Linked DNA regions of Sus scrofa. The protein of the gene in region 2 interacts with the protein of the main gene of each other region in a biochemical or structural test. Links are inferred from orthologs where the notes say so. Each region holds a gene or a part of one and is shown on either strand. Other genes may lie near its edges.

Region 1 (4,082 bases), on a different chromosome or scaffold from region 2:
CCTCGCTCAGTGGGTTAACGGATCCGGCATTGCCGTGAGCTGTGGTGTAGGTTGCAGACGTGGCTCGGATCCTGAGTTGCTGTGGCTCTGGTGGAGGCCCGTAGCTACAGCTCCAATTTGACACCTAGCCTGGGAATCTCCACATGGCGCAGGTGCGGCCCTAAAAATGCAAAGAAAGAAAGGAAGAAAGTCATCTGAACGGCCCTGAGGGGAACATAGATGCGAAGGTGCCGGTGTCGCCTTGTGCGTCCGTAGAAGCTCTCTGAAGGTTCTCTGCTGGCCTCTGCAGCAGGGCCTTGCTGTTTTCCTTTCTTTTCCAGCATTTAACTCTTGTACCACGTTGTTGGGACACAATTCCCACCATGCGAAGCACAGGAAAGTATTAAAATGTACCTCCAAAGGGGCCCTTCGTCTCAGGGCCCAGACCAACCAGGTGCGAGACAGGAGGGCGTCTGTGCATCACCCGGACCCAGGGCGGGCTGGGCCCAGCGGCACAGGGATCTCGCACCGTCTGCTCTGGGCGCCTGCCCCAGGTCCTGAGAGCTGCACAGCCGTCCACTTTGCCAGCCCTTGGACCACAGAAGCTGCTGCTGTCACTGTCCTTTCTTCTCCTTGCACAACTGACACAGTCGTCACGGAGAAAACATGAAATAAAGATAAGCGAGCAGGGAAAGCTAAATCAACTGCGTTTCCACCAAAGACATAATTTCTTAACACTTTGGATTCATTTCTAACCTTTCAGTATTTTCCCCAAACGTGTTTTTGGTTTTTTTGTCCCTCCCCACCCCCCGCACCTGGACGTTCCCAGGCCAGGGATCGAACCTGTGCCGCCACTGCAACCAGAGCCACAGTAGTGACCACACTGGATCCTTAACCCACTGAGCCACCAGGGAACTCCTTTTCCTGTGCTTTGAATATAAGCCTTTCAGGAGTTCCCTGGTGGCTCACAGGGTTCAGAATCTGGCATCGTCACTGCTGTGGCTCAGTTGCTGCTCTGGTGTGGGTTCGATCCCTGGCCTGGGCACTTCTACATGTCACACGCATTGCTGACAAAAAGAAAATAGGTCTTTTACATGCAGAATCACTCACACGTAAGTACATATTTTAACCACACAACTTACATAAACATGATGCACTTACACGTGCTTCGTTAACCGAACAGGATCGTGTTGGGCCGTCTATCGGCAGCCGTTTCTTAACTTACCATCTGTCACAGCTGTCTGCTCCGGGGGTGGCTGTGAGGTGGCCGACCAGACCTCACCCGGCTCTCTGACCCTGGAGGCGGGGCCAGGCTTCCCTCTCAGGGGCCCGGCTGGCTGGCGCGGGGCAGACCTACTCCCCGGGGTCCTCGGTGACCTCGGAAACCTCCTGTAAAGTGTCGCTGCTGCGCAGTGCCGTGCATCTCCAGAGAGGGTCTGCAGCAGCCCCTGCAGTCTCGGGCACGCACTTCCCACCAGCACCAACGCAGGCATCCCGGTGCTGGATGCTGGAAATCTGCGGGCGAAACGGGTATCTCCCTATGTGAGAAGCCTATTCCCGCGGCTGCCGGCCCATCCGCCACGCTCCCCAGGTCCTTTGGAAGGCCTTTCCCCGTCTCTGCAAGGGTCCTACCCCCTTGCGGTGGCACTGGTGGGCAACTCTGGCCCGCGACACACATCACAGACGTTCTCCCGTTTGCCTTGACTTCGCCGATGGCGTTGGTGTTGGTTTTGGAGACAGCGGCCATCTCCGGGCACACGAACACCGCAGGGCCGTCAGCCAGCGACCCCCTCCGGTGTCTCTGTGCTCAGAAAGTGCAGGGTGGCTCTGCCTATTGGATGCTGTATCGTGATGGTGTCGTCCACCTGGGGCTGGGGTTGGTGTCTCTTGCGAGGGCAGCTCCCCCTGGTTTTCTTGGAGCAGCTCCCACGCCTGCTCTGCGTTTCCGACCCCTCTTGAGCTCCTGCAGTGACAACTGTCACTGCCATCTCTTGAGACCTCAAATACTGGTTACCAAGACTCCCCTTCTTCCAAGGCCTGGTCTGGCAATGACCATAAGAACGCTGCCCACTTCTCCCGGGGCCCTTCTGGGCAGCAGCTCTGTCCGTTTGCCTCCAGGGCCATGGGCAACCCAATGACCAACCCCACGACAGGGTGGCACCATAGCCATCCCGTGTCACGAGTGAGGAGACGAGAAAGGGTTTCTCTGCTATGACAGCTGGTGTCGTCTGCCAGCCTAACTTCAGCATCAGGTGTTCAAGCTCCTTGCGCTGGTCAGCGTTCCAGAGACACAGCGCAAGTGGGACATGCACAGAAAGGGGGTTTATTGGGAGGAGTCGGCTCTTATCCTCCCGGAGGCTGAGGCTCCCATGGGTGCGATTCATCCAAAGTCTGAAGGTGGGACAGCAGGAAGGTCTCTCGTTCCTCGCCTCTGTACTAGTCAGACCCTCAGCGATGGGCGAGGCCCACCTGCCTGGGGCGGGGGCACCTGCCTCACTGAGTCACCCATTCAGGTGCTGGGCTCCCCCAGAAACACCCTCACACACACCCAGAAGCAGTGCTTGATCTGGGCCCCTGCAGCCGGTCAGCTTGACCCAATCACACGTGAGTCTCCTCACCGACCATTTTGGATGCCTCCGCCTGTTGGGGAGCAGCTGATGGGTCTCCCAGAGAGGACACCCCCCGGGGCACTGCTGTCCACACACAGGGGTTCCTTCACAGCCCAGCCGCATGCCCCTGGCCTCTGCTGGACGCTGGCGGGGGTGGGCAGGGAGGGTGTCTCTCTTCGGGGGCCTGTGTCCAGCCCCAGACCAGGAGCTCCGTCCCTGTGGAAAAGGAGAGAGCAGGTGTGGGGGCCAGCCGGCTCCCTCTGCCAGAGAGGTATTTTGCGTGGCTGTTGGCGGTGTCAGGGGATGGACTGCCCCCTTTACTTCCGACAGCCTGCATCAGCCTTGGCTCTGGTTAGCTTCCCCACTTTGCCACATTCTTCTCTTGGGTTTTTCTCAGGATACAACCAGATTCTATTCATTAGAATTAATGACACCATAACCGTCTCGTTCCACCCACTACAACCTTAGCTCTTATTCATGTTTTAAGGACCAAGGGACTTTTCTTTCTTTCTTTCCTTTCATCTTTGGCCACCCCGCAGCATATGGGCCAGGGATTGAACCTGCGGGTCTGCAGCGACCCGAGCTGCTGTAGTCGGATCCCCCGCCCAGAGACAGATGGAGTTCCAGGGCCAGGACCAGATCTGAATTGCAACCTACCCTGCAGCTGCGTCAATGCTGGATCCTTTAACCCACTGTGCCGGGCCTGGGATGGAACCTGCGTCCTGGGGCTGCAGAGACACTGCCATCCCATTGCAGCACAGCAGGAACTCCTACAGCTGGTTTCTTGTTTATTCAGTGAACAAATGTGTGAACCTCTGGACCCTACTCGGCTCTGTAAGGGTCCCCTGTGACCTGTTTACTGGGCAGCCCCAACGGTAGGGTCAGTGGGGCACCTGCTCCACGGCCGCCGCTAGAGGGCATCCTGGGGAGGTGCTGAACTCCGTTTTGACTTCGGGAGCTCAGGCTCTGTCGGGGTGGACAGGTAAATGAGACCGGCAGAGTCCTCAGCGCCCGCATCTCTAACCCGGAGTGGACTGTCAGCAGGTGGAGCATTGGTGGCGCCTCAAGCTGAGCCCCCACCCCGCTCCTGCCCACCTCGCAGGGCCCCTCTCAGACCCACCCTGGGGGCTGGCGCTGTGGGGCCCGCCTTTCTGCTCACATGGCTCCCAGGACACCAGCCCTGAGCTGGGAGCTCCCAGCTCTTTCTTGTGAGAGGACTGCTCCCTGGCCACTGCCCGCTGTCGGCTGAGCCTTCTGCAGAGTGTTTCCGTCCCTGCCCCAGACGGTCCCTCAGCCGCGCGGCGTCCTTCACCCCCGGCAGCGGTGGCTCCTAGGTCACATCGGGGCATGGATCAGGACCTGTTCCACTCCCGCGCGGCTCCTTCCGCGCCACCCCCAGGAAGGGGAGATGACGCATGGCTGCGGGCTGGAGCCGCTAGAGCCATCCTGCTGATCCAGTGGCCCTGGCCACTCCCCTGCCCGGCTGGAGCGGCT
Region 2 (3,500 bases):
ACAAAATAAGTAAATCCTCTCTCTCATCACTTCTATTCACCACTGTATTGGAGAGTCTAGCCAGAAAAATTTGGCAAATAAATGAAATAAAAGGGCATCTAGATTTAAAAGGAAGCAGTAAAATGACCTCAATTCATAGATGATAGGATTTGATATACTGAAAATCTTAAGGAATCCACTAAAAAACTATTAGAACTGATAAACGGCTTCAGCAAGGTTGCAGGATACAAGATCAACAGACAGAAATCAATTGTATTTCTATACACTTGTAATGAAAAATCTTACAGAGAACTGAGGAAACAAGTCTACAACAGAGTTAACAGGGAATAAAATCCTTTTTTAAAAAGTGCAAGACTTGTACTCTGAAAACTATAAATCATTGTTGAAAGAAATTCAAGATCTAAGTGAATGGAAAGACATTACATGTTCATGAACTATAAGACAATGTTAAGACAACAGTACTACTAAATTGATCTAGGATTAAAAGCAATCCCTATCAAAATTCCAGCTGGCTTCTTTGCAGAAATTGACAAGCTGATCCTAAAATTCACATGCAGGAGTTCCCATCATGGCGCAGTGGTTAACGAATCCGACTAGGAACCGTGAGGTTGGGGGTTCAATCCCTGGCCTTGCTCAGTGGGTTAAGGATCCGGCATTGCCGTGAGCTGTGGTGTAGGTCGAAGACTCGGCTCGGATCCCACGTTGCTGTGGCTGTGGCATAGGCTGGTGGCTACAGCTCTGATTCGACCCCTAACCTGGGAACCTCCATGTGCCGCAGGAGCGGCCCAAGAAATGGCAAAAAGACAAAAAAAGACCAAAAAAAAAAAAAAAAGGAAAAGAAATCAGTTACAGAGCTAACAAGTAAGGGGGAGAAGAGAAGATGTGCATAATTTTCTCACCTGGTCCAAATGCCTGTCTCTCATGAGTTCACACTCATTTTGCAGTGTGTGCTGGAAAAGGGTCCAGATGATATGCTCTAGTTCTGGGTGATCAGACAGAAGGCGTGCACACAGGGTATTGAGTCGAAGATATGCTAGTCGGTACACTGGAGAAATAAGGAGAATCAATCATATCTATTCTCGACTTATCACAAGTGGACTTTTTCAAAACATGAAATTGCTATAATCAAAATGCTGTTAAACAGCATTTTAACATTAAATTCATCTCTACCACTATTTCCCTTATGAATAAATGGTTTCTAGTCTTAGTGCCATGCTATATACATAGAAGGCAAATTATTACAGCATAAAACTGAGGCATAGGTGGAAGAAGAAAGATCCTAAGATATTGTGAAATCAGACCCAAAGAGGGTTTGTTTCAGTTCCACTGGTAATCCCTCATCACAAAAAATGTTGAAAATTCTATCAATATTCAAAAAGGATTCTTTTCCCTCTTCTTAGAGTTTCTGATTGAGTAATTCTAAGGTGGGGCTCCAAAAAAAAATCCTTCCTACAATTTACCAGGTGAGGTGGATTCAGCTGGTTGGGGACAACACTTTGGAAACACTGCTCTATCTTGCCTATGAAGCTCAGTATATTGCTGACTTGAATAAAATCAGAAAAAAAAAAGGTTTATCACAGAGGAATCTGACCTTTCACCTTCCTTCAAAGAGCTCCAAGCGGGCATGCACTTGCATGTATATACACATCCAACAGACACCAAATCACCTCCCCGCCCCGTCGCAACCCACACGCAAACTGAGAATGCCATGCCACTGGGCCACCCAGAAATGCAATGCACCAGGCCACAGCACACTGTATAATCTCAACTCACACACCTGAACAGCAAAAGTCATGATAACAGCAAATATTTCCAAACATAAACTTGAAAGTATAGCAGCAATAGCAACAATAACAACATCTAACACTTTCTGAGTGCTTACTATGTGCAAGGCACTGTTGGAAGTATTTTATGTATTAATTCATTTAATTACCTCAAAACTCATAGGGTACATTATTATTATTTCCATCTTATGGAAGAGGAAACTGTGGCACAAAGACATTCAGTGACTTTTCCAAAGTCATGCTTACTAAGCAGAAGTGCCAAGATTTGAATCTAGTCAGCCTGGTTTCAGAGTCCATACTCTTCAAGTTAACATCTACTGACCTTTTTTGTAAAAGAGTGAAAGGGAGGTAGATTTCAGTGGCTTCTGAGTCTGGAAGGTTGAGGTTGCTTGTGCCTCTGAATTTGCAGTAGAATTTACACGTGTAGTTGACCCTTTTTTCTTGGGGGATCTTAAAGGAGAAAGATACCTGGATATATTCAAAGGAAAAGTCTTCATTTGAAGTTTGCTAAGAATCTCCATCACTTTCTGTCTCTCTCTCTCTCTCACACACACACACACACACACACACACACACACACACACACACACACACACACACACACGGCTGTAGACATGCATCCAAACACATCTTGTCTATTTAATCTGTTATTCTACACCAAATTCCTACTTAAATATAAGTTGGAAAAAGGAGCTTAATAGGAAAACTAAGCTTGTCATCATTTCTAATTTTATTTTAATAAATGGCTTCTAGTGGGAATTCCTACCTTATTGAAAACCACAGCTGTATGTGTTTATATGTTCGATTTTAATAATTATAGTGTATAGTGTATAGATGTAAAATGACTCCTAATTAAAATAATAAGCCATTGATATCAAAATATCAATTTCTCTGATTCTTTGTTTAAAAATGTTTCATTTATAACTATGGTCCACATATAGAAGACTTAAGTTACACACACATATGCCTTCCTAAATTACCTAGTATAGAATTACATGACTAATATTTCAGATAGCATTATTAAAGCAGATTTACACCTGTATACTAAATATGTCAGGCATAAATCAAGGCAGAGATATTAGGAAGTACTCTCTCTCAACTTCTGACTTTCTACTGCTCTGTGCTATATTTATTTTAGAGGGAAACTCCAGATCTACTTTCTAAATTTTTTTTTTTAGTAACAGAAGTAATTCTGAGCAGGAAGTAGACGTGCGCCTTACTACAGACGTTTCTACCACAGGCAATCCATTACCTAGTGCAGCAGGAAAGGGGAATCACCATCACGACCGTCTAAGGATCAGGATCTAGTCTCCCGTCACACTTGCAATTCTCCTCAATTCGCTACCAATACTGTAGACTGACTTGACTTGGGTAGAAGTTAATCTCCCTTGAATTCCGGGTGAAAATATTCACTTACTTACTAGACTTCAGATTTGAGAAGGCCAAAATGGAATTCTTGATTTTCCCTCCATTTTTCCCATTTCAAAAAATGGCTCCACATTACATCCAGTTTATTAAGTCACTCTAGGAGCTATTTTTAATTTCTTTCCTTTTCTCAATCTTCAAGGCCAATGCAAAAGAAAGTTCTATTAAATCTTCCTCTAAAATACACCCCAGATCTGTCCACTTCTTTCTCTCTCTACTAACATTTCTTAGATCAAGTCATTTACATTTCTCACTTGGACTATTCCAATTGTCTCCAAACTGGTCTTATTT
Region 3 (4,062 bases), on a different chromosome or scaffold from region 2:
TGTTTCTCCTGTATAAAAAAGGATTCTAGTATCAAGGTACAGGGAAGGGGAGAGCAAGGAACATACCCCTTGGTGTAAGGAAATGGGGGGGGGTAAGTCTCAAAAGGAGGGGAGGGAGGGGAATGTCATTAAGGCAGCAAAATATTCTCTGTAAAAAGACAGAGGCAGTCGTCTCCACACCCCAGAGATGAAGGCAGAGATCGACTTCTCGGCAAGGGACTCTCAAGTGTTCAAAGGAAGGGAAGTGTTGGCTTCTCTTCTCTTGGTTCTGTTGCAACCATTCCATTGCTCACTCTGGGTTACCTTCTGCCTTATGTAGATAAGAGTGCTGCAGGGCTCGGAAGGCAGAGATTCGCTTGTGTGGGTTAAAAGTCAGCATCTCCTAAGAAGGGAGGCAAAGGTCAGAAAACTGTGAAGAAAACAAAATAGACTTCTACTCACCCTTAACAATATCTAGAATGGGTTCTTTTCTATCTCTCTTTGTGGACTGCCATTCAAAGCAGCAAGAGAAAACTAGCCCATCCACTAATGAGTCTCAGTGATCACAATGTGTTTGGGTCCCTTTTATACTGCTGTTTTTTCACCCCAATCTCACCCTGTGCCCATACCCAAGCCCAGTACCAGTAGCAGCTGTGCTCCAGACTCCTCCATCTCAGGTACCACCGACTGCACTGGGCGGGGCCCTCTGGGGGAAAAGGCTCCTCGGGGTAGAGACACATCTCGGGGCCAGTCATCCTCTGGGGGCAGCCCAATCAGGCTATGGGAAACAGGAGAACTCTGGTCAGGAGGGCCCGTCTCTAGCCCCCACCCCCAGGGGCAGAGCCAGTTTCCAACCAGGGCTCAGCAGAAAGAGGACGACTAAGAATGGAAAACTCTTTTCCCTTCCCAATCACTTACTCAAAGATTTTGCCTAACTGGTCAGCTTCAGAGTTTCCACAGAAGAGAGGCCTGAGGTGAGAAAAGACATAAGACAGCAGTCATTTTCAAACATATGGTGGAAGAATGATTACAGCTTAGTAGCTCAGAACATCGGGTATGTAGAATAAAGAGCTATGGAATTCCTAATTCCAGGATATTTCAGAGCTTCTGGTTATAGACCAGATGGTCAGGAGTACTCAAGTAGAAGAGTGGCCATGACATGGATGTGGTTTATGAATAAGAGATTTGGGAAATTATGGGTTATTTGGGCCCCATACTTTCGACGAAACATCTCTGCGAAGATACAGCCAACGCTCCACATGTCCACAGGTGTTGCATACGTAGACTGCAAAAGAACTTCTGGAGCACGGTACCAGAGTGTAACCACCTAATAGGAATAAGAAGGGTCGATGAGGTCCCTACTCCTTACCATGAAGCACAACTGCTTCACTGAAGTCAAGCACGTAAAAAACACGTGACTTCCCAACTGCTACGAGCAAGCATTCTCCTCCCACTAACCAGAAGCCATTTTGGCTACCATCTTTCTACTGACCACAGGTGTAAGTGCCATCTGGTAGCTGTAGATTCTGGCCAGGCCAAAGTCAGCCAGCTTGACTGTCCCACCACTTGTAACCAGAATGTTCTCTGGCTTCAGGTCTCGATGAACGATGCAGTTGGCATGAAGGAAATCTAGGCCTCTTAGAAACTGACGCATCAGATCCTGGTTTAGAAGGGGGAGGTACAGAGAAACTGGAAACTAGGCATCATACTGGAAGCCACAACAGATGCTACTACAAAGATCCCAGTTTACTTCTCAGTATATGTCCATCCTACTCACCTTGATGGTCTCCACCGGCAAGCCTGGTGGGGGTGCCTTGTCCAGATATGTCCTTAGATCTTGGTCCACATGCTCAAACACCAGGGTCACTTTGGTCTCTCGATCAGTTCGGGCAGTGGCACAGACATCCATCAGCCTGGCCAGAACAAAAGGTCACTCAGTGATCAATCATCTTTGACCTAACATGGCTTCCCCTATTCCTTCAGGGTCCCCACTTCTTTCAACCACCACTCCCCACCTACAGGTTGTCTATTCCTTTTTACTACCCACTCCCAACCCTCCACCTTCTTCTCACCGGACAACATTGGGATGCTCGAAAGCCTCCAGCCGGCGCAGTAAGGCCACTTCACGAACCGTGCTGATGGGCAGGCCCCCTCCAGCACCTCCTCCATTGGGGACTCTTACGCTCTTGAGGGCCACAAAGTGGCCACTGTGGGGATCCCGTGCTTTGTACACGGTCCCATAGGCACCAACACCAATCTCCGCCACTGGTTCATACCGGGAGGTAGCCATTCTCAGACCAGATGAGACCCTACAATCACAGAGACTCCTGCCACCAAATTCCCTTCCAGAGTTCAAATAGTTATGAGCCTGCGGCAACAAAGTGTCTCGCACAAAACATATCCCAAAGACAACAAGAGCAGCATCCCGTCCCTTCCCCAAATTTCCATAAGGCCGACCCCCCTAGGTAACACAATGATTAACCAAAAGCCCTCCAGCCACGTGAGGCCCTAGAATTAAAAAATTCCTTCTTCTTTGGGACTATCAAGCCCTGTACAAGGGAAATCCCACACGACACACCCCCTGCATTGAAGACCCTTCACCTAGTCCTTTAAATTACACCTCCCTATGACCACAAAGGAACATACTACACCCTGCACCACTTCCCGCCCTCGAGCGACCCTTCCAGACCAGCCCGCGTAGGAAGCCGGGGAGGACTAGAATGGTCCCTATTCCTGGAAGGGGGCTACACTTACCTCGCCCCGTGTCAGGAGCTGCGGGGGCGGCCCGTTATCGGGGCCCCGGAGCCGGTTCTTGCAGCGCCATGCACTCGAGCTCTGTCTGGGGCAGCTGGACTCTACGGGCCCGACCATAGACATAGGCCGCAGGCTAGAGCGGCCCCCTTTGCCCCCACCCTCACCATGTGACCAGCTGCCAAAGAGGCGCGCGGAAACTGGCAGGGCGGGGCGAATGTGCCGGACGTTCGGAACACGTGACCAGAGTACGCGTGCGCAGAAAGGCAGCTTGGAGCCTATTTGACCGGGAAGGGGGCGGGGAAGGGAAAGGGGCGGAGGGGCGATGGCAGCCACGTGATCTGTTGCTATCACACGTGACCGCTTGACTGCTTGGAGGAGCAGAGGTGTGGTTACGCTGTAGGGCACGTGACTGGCTGCCGTAACTCTGGCGAGGGGGGGGCGGGAGCCTAGAGAAGGTGGAGTCCAATACGGTGCCATGGCAACCTGGGCCACCCAGATCCCAATTCCCCATTGCAGGCCGAGCCGGAGCGCCAACTCCAGTGTCACTATGCGTCTGTCACTCTATATGCAGAGTGGGGGGCCTGGGGACGTGAGGAGGTGCTGTCGCCTTTATGTACCACCGCCATCGGAAAACATATTCTCATTTGTGTCTTTGTTTCATTCACTCATTCAACAAATTTTTACCGAACGCTTACTTCCTGTGTAAATGTACGGTTTTTGCTACATGAGTTTTTTTGGTGTCTCAGGCACTAGCCCTTTAAGGTAGTGAAAAGGCTATATGTAAAGATATAGCCGGCAGCGTGATCATATAAAATAGAGAGGACACAATACCCGTTTTAGGGCAAAACTAGCATTAAAGGACTGATGGAAGGCAGATAAATACAGTAATCCAACAGGAAGCGTGGCAAGGTAGTGTGCCTTCACCTCTTCAGAACTTCCATTTCTCCCTGGGAGTGTTAAAGCAGAATCTAGATACCTCCTGGCAGAGAGGTTATTAATGAGCTGGAAACAGGAATACTTGACCTTTAAGGTTCTTTTCCAGAGTTCCTGCTGTGGTGCAGCGGGGTGAGATCCGTTGAGTTAGTTGTCTCTGTGGTGGCACAGGTTCAACCCTACCAGGCGCAGGGGGTTAGCGATCCCACGTTGATACATCTGCAGCTCGGATTCAGTTCCTGGCCGGGAACTTCCATATGCCACAGGTGGGGCCAAAAAAAAAGTTTCTTTTCTGCACTAAGATGGTGTGTGTGTGTGTGTGTGTGTGCACGCGCGCGCGCACGCTATTATATACATCATATACAGATGGATATAGGAATGAGTGTGTGCAAGGAA
Region 4 (4,105 bases), on a different chromosome or scaffold from region 2:
CTGTAGCACATCAAGTTCCCAGGCTAGGGGCTGAATCAGAGCTACAGCTGCCAGCCACAGCCACGCTCTGAATCTGAGCCACATTTGCGACCTACACCACAGCTCACGGCAACACTGGATCCTTTAATCCACTGCCAGGGGCAGGGACTGAATCCACATCCTCATGGATACTGGTTGGGTTCGTTACTGCTGAGCCACAACGGGAACTCCAGATTTCCCCATTTTTAAAAAGCTACTACGAAAGTAGCATGCTCATTAAGTTGGCAATGAAATTTCTATAAAATTTCTATTACTTGTTGAGCTGAAACATAGGCCAACAACCACATTTTACAAATATCTTGACTCAAAAGACCTGAGTTCTGAAGGAACCTAGTTATTTAGCATACATATAACTTTCAGCTGTTACTCTGAACACCAACAGTTTTGTAATAAAAAATCCATTATTCCCCCAGGCACGCTCAGTTTGTTAAAGCTTTATACTACTTAAAGTCACCTTCCTTTTCACACTGTCACTTCCCACTGAAAGCCTTTCCTGATATTCCAAGTTGAGATAATTTTCCTTTCTCTGATCATTTTATCTTTGCCACTTTCATAATTATACCTGCCTATTCACTAGACTTGAAAGCAGGTACCATGTCACATTTACCTTTGCATTAACTAACTAGAAAATACCACTGACTGCCGAGATTCAAACATTTTGATGTTAAAAACTGAACTCATCCTGATAGTTTCTGAAAGCTGACAAGTTTTACATTACCATTTGGTCAACTACAGCTATAATCCCACTATTCAATTCAGTGTTAGGAAAAGGAAACATCTCCCACACTGCTGGTGGGAAAGCAAACTGGTGCAGCTATTATGGAAAACAGTATGTAAATGCCTCAGAAAACTAAGGATAGAGTTACCATATGACCCAGCAATCCTACTCCCCAGTATATATCCAGACAAAACTATAATTCAAAATGATACATGTACCGCTATGTTCACAGCAGCATTATTCACAATAGCCAAGACATGGGAACAATCTGACAGATGAATAAAGATGTGGTACATATATACAATGGAATACTACTCAGCCGTAAAAAGGAAGAAATAATGCCATTTGCAGCAACCTGGATGCAATTAGATGATCATACTAAGTGAAATCAGAAAGAGAAAGACAAATATCATTTATATTGGAGAGTCTAAAATATGACAAACCTATCTACAAAACAGAAACAGACTCAGATATAGGAAATAAATTTGTGGTTGCCAAGGGGGTTGGGAGAGGGAGCAGGAGGTGGGGGTTAGCAGATGTAATAAGCTAGTCTACACGAAAGTGGTAATAAACAAGATCCTACTGTATAACAAAGAAAATTATATTCAGTGTCCTAGGAAAACCATAATGGAAAAGAATATATATCCAAAAAAAAGTGTACACAGGAAACTGTGATTGGGTCACTTTGCTATACAACAGAAACCGAAGAAGCATGGAAAATCAGCTGTACTTTAAAAACATAACTGAATCACTTTGCCGTACAGCAGAAATTTACACAACATTGTAAATCAGTACCTCAATAAAAACAAGTAAATAAAAAGAAAACATCAGTATGTTCTCTCTTATATGCTAAACTGCAAAATAATTTTACATTTTGCCTTACTTTCTGGCCTAGGAAAAAAATGTCACCAATAGGCTTTGATCACGTGTCCTCTACGGGTGACTGGAGAGAGGAAAACAGGGAAAATCAATGTGAGAAATCTACACTGAGGACACAACAAAACAGCATTCGAGAGATTCCTATCACCTGGTTACATCTGGAAGCCACTGTGCAGTTAGGCTGGGCCACTCCAGAGCATGGGTCATCACCAAATCGTAAAGAAAAGGGGTGTTCTTTTTCCATATTTTGTACTCTTCGTTGATCACACGTTCTTCTACTGCGTCATCAAAGGCTGCTAAAAAATTAAGAACAAATTAAGTTAGCGACCACAAACGGAAACCGAGTAAACACTTCCAAAGCTACCGTCACGGCTCCTGAATCCTGATTCTGAAATGGAGATTAGTCTAGATCTCCCGGAGGCGCAGGCACCACCACCGCTCTCCAGCTTCGCCGGGCGGGAACTGCTCGGGTAATCCCGACCAGACACTCCGTTAGCCCTTCGGGCGACGGCGCCCGCCGTCGAGCGCACAGAACCGACGGTGAGACCGAGCACCGACCCCTGCGGGTAGGGAGAGCGGCCGGGAGGACCCGGAGAGAGGCAGGTAGACCGACGGGGAGCGCGGGAGGGACCAAACACCCCCCCCGAGGCCACCACGGCCAGCCTCACACCGCTGCGCCGGGCCTCCGCTCCAGAGGGGCTGGCGCGCCATGAGCCCGCCCCGCGGGGCGATTTTTCCTCACGCCTGCGATGGCGGGGACGGCCCTAGGCAGAGTCTGGCCTGCCCCCACCGTTAGGCCGCGTTGAGGCCGCGGCGCAAGCCTGACTCCTCCCGCCCTCCTGGGGCGGCCCCGGCACCCTCACCTTCCTTGTCCGCCATGGCGTACAGGCAAGCCGGGGGGATCCTGGGGCAGAGCGTTGCGAGAGGGGCGGGGAGGCTGCGAGCGCTCCTTCTGCGCGCGCGGCCTCTATTGTTTCCTGCTGCCCCTGCGTGAGGGCCGACTCGCGCACCTTCGCGCCAACATCGGCCAATCGGAGTGCGCCGAACGTCGGTGTGGGCGGGGAAGCCGCGATCGCAGCCTATCCAGACGCGCGGAGCAGCTTGCCTCCAGGCCCAGGCGCGCGCTCTGCCCCTGCCCCCACACGGCCCCAAGCCGACTTCCTCCGATCACGCGCGCGCGCTCGCGCGCGCGGGAGTAGTAGAAGTGCACCCGCCCGGGGTCACGTGAGAGGTTTAGTCCGCACGCTTTTGGGGGCAGCCATTTTCGTGAAGGGTGTTAAGCTAGCGACCCCTTCAAAGTAGTACTTTAGATGGGAAAATGTAGGATGCTTCCGGGTCTAGTTATCTATTGTGGGGCTAGGCGGCAAGAAAAGGCCTCTATCATTCAGATCGAAAGGTGTCTAATTCGTGTCCCTTATTCCACGTCCTCCAAATTATTTGTTTCCTTAGTCGTAGGAAGAACTATTAAGCAAGAGCAGAAAGTGGGTCCTTCGACTTTTAATGATGTGCTCCAAACCCTGGGACACAGAACGGAAGTCTAGAAGGATTAAGTACCTCCCAGGGAATGGAGCCCTGGTCCTTTAAGGGTGTGCCAAGGGGCGGAGTCTAGAGCGGAAGTTATAAGTCAGGGCCGAAGTCCAGCTGAAGAAGGGCGGAAGCTGAGTTTGGGTCCAAAAGCACAATCATGGCGCTGGAAGGGGAAGATTTTAGAGATTACAATTTGACTGAGGAGCAGAAGGCGATCAAGGCCAAGTATCCTCCAGTCAATCGGAAGTACGAGTGTGAGTAGGTGTCTCACTTCTCTCATTACCTGGGGCTTCTGGCCTCGCCTTCCACTTTGTCCCCTACGGTACTTCCGGCACGTTCCCTTTTAGCCCTGTTTGTCTCTTCTGTGCTTGTCCCGCGGATGCTGAAGGGAAAAGCCACCCGGTCTGAATCGGAAATCTGGGCTTCCACATTTAGTCTTTTGAACTTTTTCTACGTGTGCCTATTCACGCTTACTTTGTGGGAATTTTATTGGTGTATTAATTCTAAACACAACCGTGTTTTCAAGCGTTTGCGGAGTTGTCGTCTCCTAAGAGTGTGGCTAGGTTAGGGGACTGAAAGCTCTCAGTAGGGAACTTCTAACTTGGTGTTTTACCTGTATCGTGTTAGTAAAAAGACCTGGTTTTGCCATATTTAGTTAAGTGACTTTAGGCAAATCACATAACCTTTCTTTGCATTCAGTTCCTTCATGTGAGGGATAATTGAGATAAAAATAAATGTGAAAGTGTAGTGCAGACTCTGAAGTTCTATATAAACCTTAAGCTATCATCCCTAAAGGTGGCTGTGGTCTGGGAAGGACTAATCTGACTCTAATATCCCTGCTTAAAATATTTCATTAAATTCCCCTTGTCTTCAGTATAGAATCCAACTATTTACCATAGCTTACTAGGCTTAGTTCTTTCTGGACCCTGTATGTCTCCCTAC

What was found. The genes of interacting proteins can lie anywhere in the genome.
Region 1: the proteins of RB1 (region 2) and BRF1 form a complex in vitro, tested with the Homo sapiens proteins (2 studies listed by BioGRID). The link is inferred for Sus scrofa from reciprocal best matches to the Homo sapiens genes RB1 and BRF1.
Region 3: of the proteins of RB1 (region 2) and CDK4, one has a biochemical effect on the other in vitro, tested with the Homo sapiens proteins (40 studies listed by BioGRID, with this or other methods). The link is inferred for Sus scrofa from reciprocal best matches to the Homo sapiens genes RB1 and CDK4.
Region 4: the proteins of RB1 (region 2) and RBBP4 form a complex in vitro, tested with the Homo sapiens proteins (2 studies listed by BioGRID). The link is inferred for Sus scrofa from reciprocal best matches to the Homo sapiens genes RB1 and RBBP4.

The regions. Positions count from the first base shown.
Region 1 is NW_018084979.1:3,374,550-3,378,631, forward strand, and holds the start of BRF1 (transcription factor IIIB 90 kDa subunit), read right to left. Parts: upstream 2,801-4,082; 5' UTR 1,473-2,800; coding exon 1,205-1,472; intron 40-1,204; exon of another isoform or gene 1-39.
Region 2 is NC_010453.5:19,199,136-19,202,635, forward strand, and holds part of RB1 (retinoblastoma-associated protein), read right to left. Parts: intron 2,253-3,500; coding exon of another isoform or gene 2,235-2,252; coding exon 2,107-2,234; intron 1,046-2,106; coding exon 900-1,045; intron 1-899. UniProt on the Homo sapiens protein: Tumor suppressor that is a key regulator of the G1/S transition of the cell cycle. The hypophosphorylated form binds transcription regulators of the E2F family, preventing transcription of E2F-responsive genes.
Region 3 is NC_010447.5:23,039,160-23,043,221, forward strand, and holds CDK4 (cyclin-dependent kinase 4), read right to left. Parts: upstream 2,801-4,062; 5' UTR 2,734-2,800; intron 2,289-2,733; 5' UTR 2,270-2,288; coding exon 2,052-2,269; intron 1,893-2,051; coding exon 1,757-1,892; intron 1,640-1,756; coding exon 1,472-1,639; intron 1,307-1,471; coding exon 1,197-1,306; intron 949-1,196; coding exon 898-948; intron 758-897; coding exon 622-757; intron 383-621; coding exon 290-382; 3' UTR 47-289; downstream 1-46.
Region 4 is NC_010448.4:88,985,787-88,989,891, reverse strand, and holds the start of RBBP4 (histone-binding protein RBBP4), read right to left. Parts: upstream 2,801-4,105; 5' UTR 2,516-2,800; coding exon 2,500-2,515; intron 1,933-2,499; coding exon 1,785-1,932; intron 1-1,784. Other genes in the region: ZBTB8OS (protein archease), read left to right, coding at 3,321-3,417. UniProt on the Homo sapiens protein: Core histone-binding subunit that may target chromatin assembly factors, chromatin remodeling factors and histone deacetylases to their histone substrates in a manner that is regulated by nucleosomal DNA.